Caenorhabditis elegans: one gene and its partner. The protein of the gene in region 1 interacts with the protein of each later gene in a pairwise test. Each region holds a gene or a part of one and is shown in the gene's direction. Other genes may lie near its edges.

Evidence for each region. Proteins that work in one complex are often made in the same cells at the same time.
Region 2: the proteins of Y17G9B.5 (region 1) and C53D5.5 interact in a two-hybrid assay, tested with the Caenorhabditis elegans proteins (one large-scale study listed by BioGRID).

What each region holds. Positions count from the first base shown.
Region 1 is NC_003282.8:4,748,479-4,752,020, forward strand, and holds Y17G9B.5 (Evolutionarily conserved signaling intermediate in Toll pathway, mitochondrial), read left to right. Parts: upstream 1-1,761; 5' UTR 1,762-1,767; coding exon 1,768-1,921; intron 1,922-1,965; coding exon 1,966-2,193; intron 2,194-2,241; coding exon 2,242-2,740; intron 2,741-2,790; coding exon 2,791-2,962; 3' UTR 2,963-3,013; downstream 3,014-3,542. Other genes in the region: rpl-18A (Large ribosomal subunit protein eL20), read right to left, coding at 701-1,036, 1,085-1,291.
Region 2 is NC_003279.8:305,311-312,379, reverse strand, and holds C53D5.5 (Gamma-glutamyltranspeptidase 1), read left to right. Parts: upstream 1-1,589; 5' UTR 1,590-1,592; coding exon 1,593-1,618; intron 1,619-2,618; coding exon 2,619-2,838; intron 2,839-2,945; coding exon 2,946-3,175; intron 3,176-3,588; coding exon 3,589-3,809; intron 3,810-4,565; coding exon 4,566-5,289; intron 5,290-5,771; coding exon 5,772-6,090; intron 6,091-6,291; coding exon 6,292-6,480; 3' UTR 6,481-6,569; downstream 6,570-7,069. Other genes in the region: imb-3 (Importin N-terminal domain-containing protein), read left to right, coding at 1-544, 596-746, 804-979.

The sequences.
Region 1 (3,542 bases):
ACTAAAAGAGTCTAGCAGGAAGAAACCGCCACAGCAGCACTTGGGGAACCGCCCGTGATGCAATAGCGAGAAAGAAACGGGGGTTGTGCCATCTCTCGGGCGGCGAGGAGACGCAGAGACACAGAAAGGCCATAGAACAATCGGGCGGTCGCTCTCGGGAGTCTGGGTGAAATATCATTCAGCGAGGACATACTAAAATGACGCTGTTGAACTTTTTATCTATGATCTGAAAGGTTTTGCCCTTAAAATACAAAAAATAAAGTTTCTACGAGATTTACCGCATTTCTAACGCTTACAACTTACAAAATCTACAGTTATCCAGATTTTTATCAACTTATCTCAATTATTAAGAATTAATTTACCTTATCGAAATAGTGATATTGAACTTTAAGGAATGTAGTTACAGATCTAGTAGCGTAAGAACTGAATATAGAAGAGCAGATATCTATATTGCAAAAGAACAAATTTGAAAATATTGACAAAATTTACCAGTCACACAAGTCAGCTGGGCGGTCCGATGCCTTATGGATCATTGCAATGATCATCTAATAACATCAACAAGTGCTGCGCACGAGATAAAAACAGTAAACAAATAACAAGCTGAACAAACAGGATTCAAACCACACAAATTTAAAATGAAAAATTAAGAAAAAAATTTGTTTGCAACAATTTATTGTAACAAATAACAATAATCCGCAACTTAGGCGAAGTGGGTGTTTTGGCGAGCGGTTGTGAAGACGCTGAGGTTCTTTCTCTTGGTGACGCGATGTGGGAGTGGGAATCTGATCTTGGCGTCGTGGAACATCTTGATTCCGGCACGCTTGGTGTCTTCGGCCTTGACGGTTTGGACCTTGAGGATGTGGATGCGGTCAGCTTGGGCACGATGACGAGCTCCCATGTCACGGTAGCACTGGGTGACGGCTCCGGCAACGGTGGTGTCACGGTACTCACGGTACATGTTGTGGTGTCCGGTACGGGAATCGTACTTGAGCCAGACTCCGTAGTTCTTGACGGTTCCTGGGTTCTTCTCGAACACCTGAAAATTTTATTGTAAAATGGGTTATTATTATTATTTTCCACAAACCTGCTTGATCGAAAGGATCTCTCCGTTGGCCTTCTTCACACGACGGAGCATAGAGACGAAGTACCAGAAACGAGACTTGGCGATGACGTGGTTGGTGGCGAAGATTTGCATCTTCCAGATTGGAGTCACTGGCTCCTTCTCTGTTGGGATTTTGCGTCCGACGACGACGTACTCATTAAGAGTCTCTCCAAGAGCCTTGGTTGGCATGTTTTAACCCTGAAAAACAAAAATATGATGCAAGGAATGGGGAATGAACAATCTGATATAATAGCGAAAAACAATTTTAGGATAACGTTACAATTTTCTTTTAAAATGGAAAGGTAGATGGGAATTACCGAAAAAATATGAGTGCATATTGCAATATTTAAAAACTATGAAAAAACTGTTAAATTTTTGTAAAAATCAGAAAAAGAAAAGCGGAAAAAAGCTAAAAAATAGGATCAGGAAAACCCAAAATGAATTTCAACGCACAAAAGTGTATGCGGCAGTGCTAGTTTTGTTGCGTGTTCTATTACCGTATCCTTCATACACTCGCCGTCGATTTACGGGGAGCGGTGGAGCGCACTTACTCCTTAGATTTTTAAGCAATTTTTTTGTTAAAAAGATATAGAAATGTGATTTTAAATGTTTTATTTTAACTATAAAGTTATAATATTAATTTATTTGTACATATTCAGACTTTAATGGCTCTTGCACATGTTTCACGACGGGTTATCAGCAATCAAATACGATGCTTTGCTGCAGCGAATCAAGAGACGAGTTTAGTACATGTTGAAAAGCAATTCGAAGCTATAGAACCGGAGAAAAGAGATAAAGATGCATTCATGGCAGCGATAGGTTTGGATATCTGTCTAGTTTCAACGATTAATCTATGTTTTCAGCCACGTTCAAGGAAAAACGAGGTCGAACGCATGTCGAATTTATCAACACAGCTCTAAAATATGTCAAAGAATATGGGGTTCATAAGGATATCGATACTTATAAAGGACTCCTTGAAGTTTTTCCAAAAGGAAAGATGATCCCACAAACTGTTTTCCAAAAAGTTTTCCTGCATTACCCTCAACAACAAAATTGTGCAGTGAAGGTTCTAGATGAAATGGAGTGGCATGGTAAGTACAAAGTCGTTTACTATTCATAAATTATCAAAAATAGTTGAGGTGTTCAACCGGATAAGGAGATCCATGATATCGTGGTCAACGCATTCGGAGAGTGGAATTTTGCAACGAAAAAGGTGAAGCGTATGCTCTATTGGATGCCAAAGCTGAAACATTCGAATAAATATCTGGACAGGCGCCACGTGGAAGGGAAGTCTCTATCACCCTCCGAGTTAGCCGGAATCGCGCTGAAAATGATGAGCCGAGACGCTGCGTCCTCTATTTCGCTTCTAAAACTGTCAGATTCATCAGATCCACAACAAAAATGGCTAGCCACGTCACAGAGCCCAATGCAACAGATATTAATTTCTGAATTGCGAAAAGGTGATGAAGTCTTCGTGGATGCTGCAAAAGTCTATCTACAAGACAGAGTTATTCCATTTATCACATTAACTGGAAATACGAAGCTGGAACCTTTAAACGAGTTCAAAAACGAAGATATGGACGAAGATTATACAAATTGGTACGCGGACTGGCAGAAGCAAAGAGGAGAAGCTAAAAGGTAGGTTTACAGTTCAAATTTTAGATTTGATATAAAATTTTAATTTTCAGATCGATCCACGAACAAGACCACGAAACGATTTTCGCAATGGGTGCTATGTATAAAGATGATAATGCAACAGCGATTCGATGGATTGATAATCTACAAAAAACCAACCCAAATATGGAGAACCTGAGGTTCCGAGTTCGATTGGAAGGAAACCCGATAATTTCAAGAAAATAAAATGTATTGTGTTGACTAGAATTTGAGAAACAATAAATAATTAACAGTTTGTGCCGATTCTCTTAACAGCTGACCTTGTTCTGCGTGTTTTTTTTTTGCGCTCGCTAGTCCCAAATGTTGTGATAAGACAACATTCACTTTTTTGGATTATTATGGATTATTGAGGATTGGCAGTACAGAACTAACTGCAACTCTGGGAGCGCCGAGGTCTGTCTAAAATGCCAAAATAAAAAATATATCCGGCGATAGATTTGTCTGTAATCCGAGATTCGAAATTGTTTTGTTTTGTGGTTCTATCAGAAGAACATGTTGCATGAAATTGTGATATCTTAAACTACAAGAAACAGGAAAATGTTAAACGCGGTTTTATAAAATAACAATACTGAAGCACTCATGAATAAAACCAATTTTTATCTAATTTTACGCATGAATACAGCGATTTTGTATTTTACTACGTTTTTTTTTACTACGAATTGCTATTGCATTTTTTTACTACGAATTGCTATTGCATTGAGAATATGAAAATAAGATAAAATAAATAGTGATTTATTTTGGGACGGTCTCTTTAAAGGCGCAACCG
Region 2 (7,069 bases), on another chromosome or scaffold:
TGAAGATGAAGATGACGATGATGCTGAAGCTAAGGAGGAGCTCGATTATTTCATGGAATTGGAGGCCTCATGCCTTGGAGCCATCTCTGATTTGACTCACTCTCTTATGAAGGAGTTCAAGGGAACTATCTTCGAGGGAATGATCAACGTGTTCAACTGTGCCATTCAACTCATCGAGGGATCCAAACAATACTTCGAGAGACAATGGGGAATGTGCCTTCTCGATGACGCCATCGAGTTCGGTGTCGGACATATGCCAACTCGCTTCCCGAAGCTTATTCCAATAATGTACAAGTTGTTGGGAGATGAGTATCCTGAAGTGAGACAAGCAGCGAGCTACGGTTTCGGAGTTATGGCCATCAACTACCACCAGATCAGCGACTACCGAAACGAGATTTTGAGCTGTTTGGAGCCACTGGCCGCCATGATTCAACGAGAGGACGCCCGAGCCACCGAGGAGAGCACTGTTGCCACGGAAAACGCGATTTCTGCATTTGCCAAAATCATCGGCAATGTGCCACTTCCTGCTGAAGCCTACGGAAAGGTTGGTTTTAGAATTCAGTTTTTCAAGAAAAAAGTTCCATATTATTTCCAGGTCGTCGAGATGTTCCTGAGCTGGTTGCCAACATATTCAGACACCGAGGAAAGCCCCTACATTTACACGTGTCTCGCCGAATTGTTTGATAAACAAGACGCCGCACTTTTTGGACCAGAAAATCAGAATCTTCCGAGAATCTTCCTTGTTTGTAAGTTCTAATCTAAAAAAATCCGTAACTTATTTTATTTTTATTTGTATTTTTCAGGCTTGCTCTCAATCGCCAACGATGCTTTCAACGACGACGATAGCGGCAACCAAACCAAGCAAAGAATTGTCACAATCCTGAAGCAAATCTACGCATCGTTCCCACAATTCGCGCAGCAAGATGGAATCGACGAGCACCTTACCAGTGTCCTTCAACAAACTCTCAATGGGCAATAATAAGGACTTTTGTTGTGTTTTTTTTTTTGCTGTTATCTTCTCCATCTTCACCGAAATGAATCTTGTTCACTGTTAATCGCTTGTTTCGCGGCTATCCTCCTATCATCATCATCAGTTTCTTCTTTTGTTCCACCACTTCTCCCCGATGCCACATTTTCTCTAATTTTTATTAGTTACCTATCGACTTTTTTTCTGTTGTGTTGAATATTATCCTCATTTTCAAATCTACTCGTTAGTTGTTACAGTTAAAGTTTTTGAAAATAATTTCAGCCAAAACCTCCACTTTCTCCTATACTCCAAATCTAAAAGTCATTCTTCCGTAGTCCTCATTGTTCCCCCTTCCACCCAACTCTCTCCCACCACAGAATATCTCTTCTGTCACTTGAAGACTATCCTCGATAAAGAGAGCTATTGGCGGTTACCCCCTCTTCTCTTCTCTTCTCGTTTGTCATTGGAGCGCGCTTACACGCAGCAAACTGTAGCTCTTATCTAGTTTTGCGATAGAATTCCGTTATCGTGAAAAGTTGCAATTTTGACATTCTCGTCCTAAATTTCCAATTGACAGCGCTTTGACTTTTTCTATGATTTTTTAATTCATACTCAATTCTGAATAATGACTCCTGAAGGGCAATCGACGAGGTGAGAGAAAAATCGATAATGTTAAAAATTCGCGGGTTTTTCGAGAAAATATTATACGTTTGTGAAAAAAATTCGAATCGAGACCCAAACGAGGCGGCATGAGTTTCTGAAAAAAATATATATATGGATTCAAGATTTAAAAAGTGCATTGTTTTTAAATTTATAATGCTGGAAATATTACCCAAATGCGAAAATACGGTACCAGGTCTCGAAACGACCAATTTTTTAAAAATAAAAACAAGCGTGCGCCTTTAAGGGAGTACTGTAGTTCTCACATTTGCAAATTCTTTCAAAAAAATCATGATGCTTTGAAAACAACTATCGATGAAAATTTAATTTTTTGAAAAAATTGATACAACTTTTTTGGTATATGAAAAACGGGCAATATTTTCGGAATTTCGAAAATTAAATTAAATTTTATGAAAAGTCGATAAAAATCGATACATTTTTGTTTGAAATTGCACAAATTCAAATTTTAGAATCTAGAAATCTATAAATTCAAATTTTTTAATCCAGAAAATCGATTATTTTCTCAAAAAATTGAAAATACTCTTCAGATTCATCTTTTTTGTGGAATATTCAAATTTTTGGGAAACCTCTGATTTTTGAAAATTCCATTTTTAAATCAGAATTATTACGGCAACACAAAATTCTGAGAATGCGTATTGCGCAACATATTCGACGCGCAAAATATCTCGTAGCAAAAACTACAATAATTCTTTAAATGACTACTGTAGTGTTTGTGTCGATTTACGGAAATCATTCATTAGTCGATAAATTGTTTTTTAAAAAACACAAAAAAAATGAAAAAACCGAAACCCCGTAAATCGACACAAGCTTTACCGTAGTGATTTAAAGAGTTACTGTAGTTTTCGCTACGAGATATTCTGCGCGTCAAAAATGTTGTGCAATACGCATTCTCAAAATTTCGCGGTCTTGTAATAATAGTGATCATGCCACTCAATACATCAAATTTGACGCGCAAAACTCGACTTTTCAGCAGTAACCCACCTCCTGTTCAATACTATAACACGTTTCCGGACGATGATAATTTACCGCCAGAATATGGACCATTTGATGAAGTTGAGCCGCTTATCGAGGCCGAGCAACCCATGAAAATCCGTACTTTAGTCGCGGCGGTCGGCTTAACGGTTCTCGTATTCACGTTGTTAATCTCAACGGTCGCATTCGCTTCATTGTATTTTCATTTACTAATGCAGGTTTGTTAGAAAGCTAGGCCACGAGGGTGAAAACTAGTCCGCAGTCGGTTCATGGCTGGCCGATTTGCTACGTGGCCGATAAAAATAAAACTCGGCAAGGTTTCCAGAACAATGCCCGCCTACCCCGTTGGCCTGGACCATCACTTTCTCCACTCGGAAAATATTCGAAAGCCGCCGTCGCCGCCGACAACGAAATTTGCTCAGAAATCGGTCGGAATATTTTGCTGAAAGGCGGAAATGCGGTGGATTCGGCAATCGCCGCACTTTTCTGTATCGGTGTAATGGATACACATTCGGCCGGAATTGGCGGCGGACATTTTATGACTATTTATAATGCGTGAGTTGTTGGTCTCGCCACGAATTGGAGCGGAACATCAATAATTAAAAAAAAAGATAATTATTAATATTGATTTTTCAACTAAAAATCAATAATCGAAAAGGAAAACAAAGAAGAAAAATTTTGGAAGAAAGAATGATTTTCCTAGGCCATTAAAAACATTTTTGCAAACATCACATTGTGGCCTCACTGGTTTCTGGCCTTCGTCAAAGCGTTTTTCTCGCGCTCCATTGACAATCGTCTACACGACGCTCCGTAAATTTACCCCGGTCGTGGCCTAGTCCAAACGGGCTAACTCGGCAAACTCTTCCATTTCAAAATATGAGGAAAGCCAGAAGCGCGTGTGGCCTTTAAACTTCTGCCGTGGCCTAAAAATATTTTCAATGACTTAGAAACCTCTAAAATTCTTCCAGAACGACAAAAGAGTGTACGGTAATCGATGCTCGGGAGATTGCTCCGCTCGCCGCAACAGAGGAAATGTACCGTGACAAATGGAATCAGTCGAGAATCGGATGGAAGGCGATTGCGGTGCCCGGAGAGCTTCACGGCCTCCGGACTGAATTCGAGAGATTCGGAAGTGGAAAAGTCGAGTGGAGACAGTTGTTGAAACCAACTATTGATTTGTTGGCTGAAGGTGGGCACTTTTTCTGCGAGCCTAGAATATTTCTGTTGGCCTAAAAAACTCCTAACGGCGTAGAACATTTTTGATGCTCAAAAACTTTTCTGGTGGCCGTTTTTAGACCGGCCAACAATCCCTAGGGGTAACGGATAACGGGGGCAACGGATTTAATATTCCCCGGGGACAACGAAAAAGGGGGGGGGCAACGGATTCAACGCTGCTCGAAGGCAACACAACAGGGGTAACGGAAATGGAGGCAACAGAACAATAATCCCTGAGGGCAACAAAAAGCGAGGCAACGGAATATTGAGCTCTTGGTAAGTTAAATGTTGAACTTTTTGTAAAAATCAGTTTAAAAGTTTCTCCAATTACTGTGTACGTTAAGATGGGTATCACAATAAGTCTCACCACGGCGTGTCTCACCACGATGGGTCTCATCACGATGGGTCTCTCAACGGAGGGTCTCGCCACGATGGGTCTCACCACGATAGGCCTCGTCACGATGGGTCTCGTCACGATGGGTCTCGCCACGATGGGTCTCGCCACGATGGGTCTCACCACGAAGGGAGACGGGCCCAAATTTTTTCAGGAGGAGAAGACGAGTAGTTTATTACATTACTAAAAATTTCTAGACCATCAAAAAATTTCTAGGTCACCATAAAAATTCTAGGCCATCATAAAAATTTCTAAGCCATCATGAAAATTTCGAGGTCACAAAATAAGTAACTATGTTATCGGTTCATGTTTCTAGGCCATCCTAAAAAATTCCAGGCTACCCAACGTCCCATGCCCTTGCAAAAGCTCTCAACCAAAACGAGCACCAAATCCGCGCGGAGCCCACCATGAAAAACTTCATCAACCCCGAAACTCAGCGTGTCTTCCAACCAGGAGAGCAGATAAAAACCCGCCAAAACCTTCTAGAAACATTCCGGCTACTCGCAAACTCCACAGATCCCATCGCCGACTTTTATACAGGTCGGCTCGCCGAGCAACTCGCCAAAGAGTTCGAAGCCAACGGTGGGATCATCCGGCTTCAGGACTTTAAAAATTACAAATCAATAGTCCACGACTCAAAAAATGTGATCTACACAAAGCTGAAAAACGGGCGCGGAGTCTGCGGCCCGCCGCCTCCCTCGGGCTCAGCGGTGGCTCAGGCAATACTTAACGTGATGGATGGCTTCGAATATAACATGAAGTCGTTCAACGAAATCGCAACGTTATACCATCATTTTCTGGAATCTAGCAAATTTAGTTATGCGGCTAGAAGCTGGCTTGGCGACCCGCAATTCGTGGCAAACGCCACGGAAATCGCCAAAAATATTACGTCAAAAGAGTGGGCGGATTGGGTTAGGTCGAAGATCACAGACACGACGCATCCTGATGATTACTATGGAGGATCGTTTGAAGCACCACCGCAGGATCATGGAACAACTCATGTATCGATTATCGATGCAGACGGCAATGCAGTTTCGGTTACGTCTACCATTAACTTATAGTGAGTTTGGCTTTTTTAAAGGAAATTTTTGGTGGCCGAACTTCGAAAACTCGGCCAGCAAGTGAGAAGTTAGTCCTCAGTCGACAAGCAACTGCAGTTGATAAAAATGAACAAGTTCGAGGTCGTCACCAAAAATTTTAAACTAATTAGGCCAGGGGATGATTTTAGGCAGTCTTAATAGTAAATTGTTTACCACCTGGATTTTATACCGAAGTGATTTCATAATCTGGGCCACGTGTATAATTTCTAGACCATCAACCAAAGTTTATATACGCCCACCTGAAATTTGGAGGCCATCACCTTTCAATTCTAGGCCATCAGTTAAAAACATTTTTAGGACGACGTTCAATTTTTAGGCCATCAGTTCAAGTTTATAGGCCACAAACTTAAATTTCTAGGCCATCACTTTGACTTTTTCGGATATGAAGACATTTTCTAGGCCACCGCCAAAAAAACTCTTCCACCATCTCAAATTCTTCCAGCCTGGGTGCCCTAGTATCCTCCGAATCGACGGGAATTCTCTGGAATAACGAAATGGACGACTTTTCCACTCCCGGTCATCCGAATTTCTTCGGTTTCCCACCGTCTCCCGCCAATTTCATTCGCCCTGGAAAACGCCCCATGAGTAGTCAAAGTCCATTAGTGATCTTTAACACAAAAGGGGCGGAGCTTATGGCGGTCGGCGGAGCCGGTGGATCCACCATTATTTCGGGTGTTGCTGGAGTTGCACTGCATGCGTTATGGCTGAAAGCAGATGTTAAACAAGCTGTTGATGCTCCAAGGATGCACAATCAGTTACAGGTAGAGAATTACACGCGAAATTTGATTTTTTTTTTGTTGGAAAAATCGATAATTGTCAAAAAGTTGATTTTTTAAAAATAAAAATCAATAATTTTCAGAAAAAAAACTTCTGAATTTAATTTTCAATCAATTTTCGACTTTCACATGAAATATTTTTCAATCAATAAAATCAAAACCTTTCCCAATTTCCTTATTTTTTAGCCAAATTACACGTGGTACGAGCCAAACTTCCCGAAAGCCTACGTGAAATCCCTGATCGATCGTGGTCACGTAATGAAGGCAGTGAACAATTTGACAGTTGTCACCGCCGCCGAACGACTTTCCGACGGCCAAATCTATGCGAACAGTGATTTCCGAAAAGGGGAGGAGTCAGCGCCAGCGGGATATTGATTATTATGTTCATATTTTAAATTTTGTGACTTTTTTGTTGATTTTTTGTAGAAATCGGGTGAAATTTGAAAATAAATGTTCTAGTTTTCGCACTTGTGTTAACACTTTTTTACTGGTCTTGTGGCCGCGTAAATAGGAAACTCGGCCATCGATTTTTTAGAACATTTTTTATCTTAAGAAAAACTCTTTTCATAATGTTGTGTATTCGAAGGCGAGACGAGGAGGAGAAGACGAGTAGTTTATTACATTACTAAACTAAGGAATAAATAAGTTAGTTCATAGAGTTCACGTTGTACGATCTTCTTAGCCACGTCGTGGGTCAATACACGTTGATACCCAACACATAAATAGTAAGTTTAGTCAGGGTTTTTCAGTTTTCAAGCCAAAAATTTGTCTGTAAAAATTCAAAAAAGGAAACAAAGTTTTTTTTTAAATTAAAATTCTTCATATAAATTCAGAGTTTTAAAACTTCAAACCCGTAACAATGAACGAGGTACAAATGAGACAAGGTGAAACATATTACACGTTCGTCAAAATTTTTTTTCGAGGAAAGTGTAATAATACATGAACCCATAATAAAACGCGATGA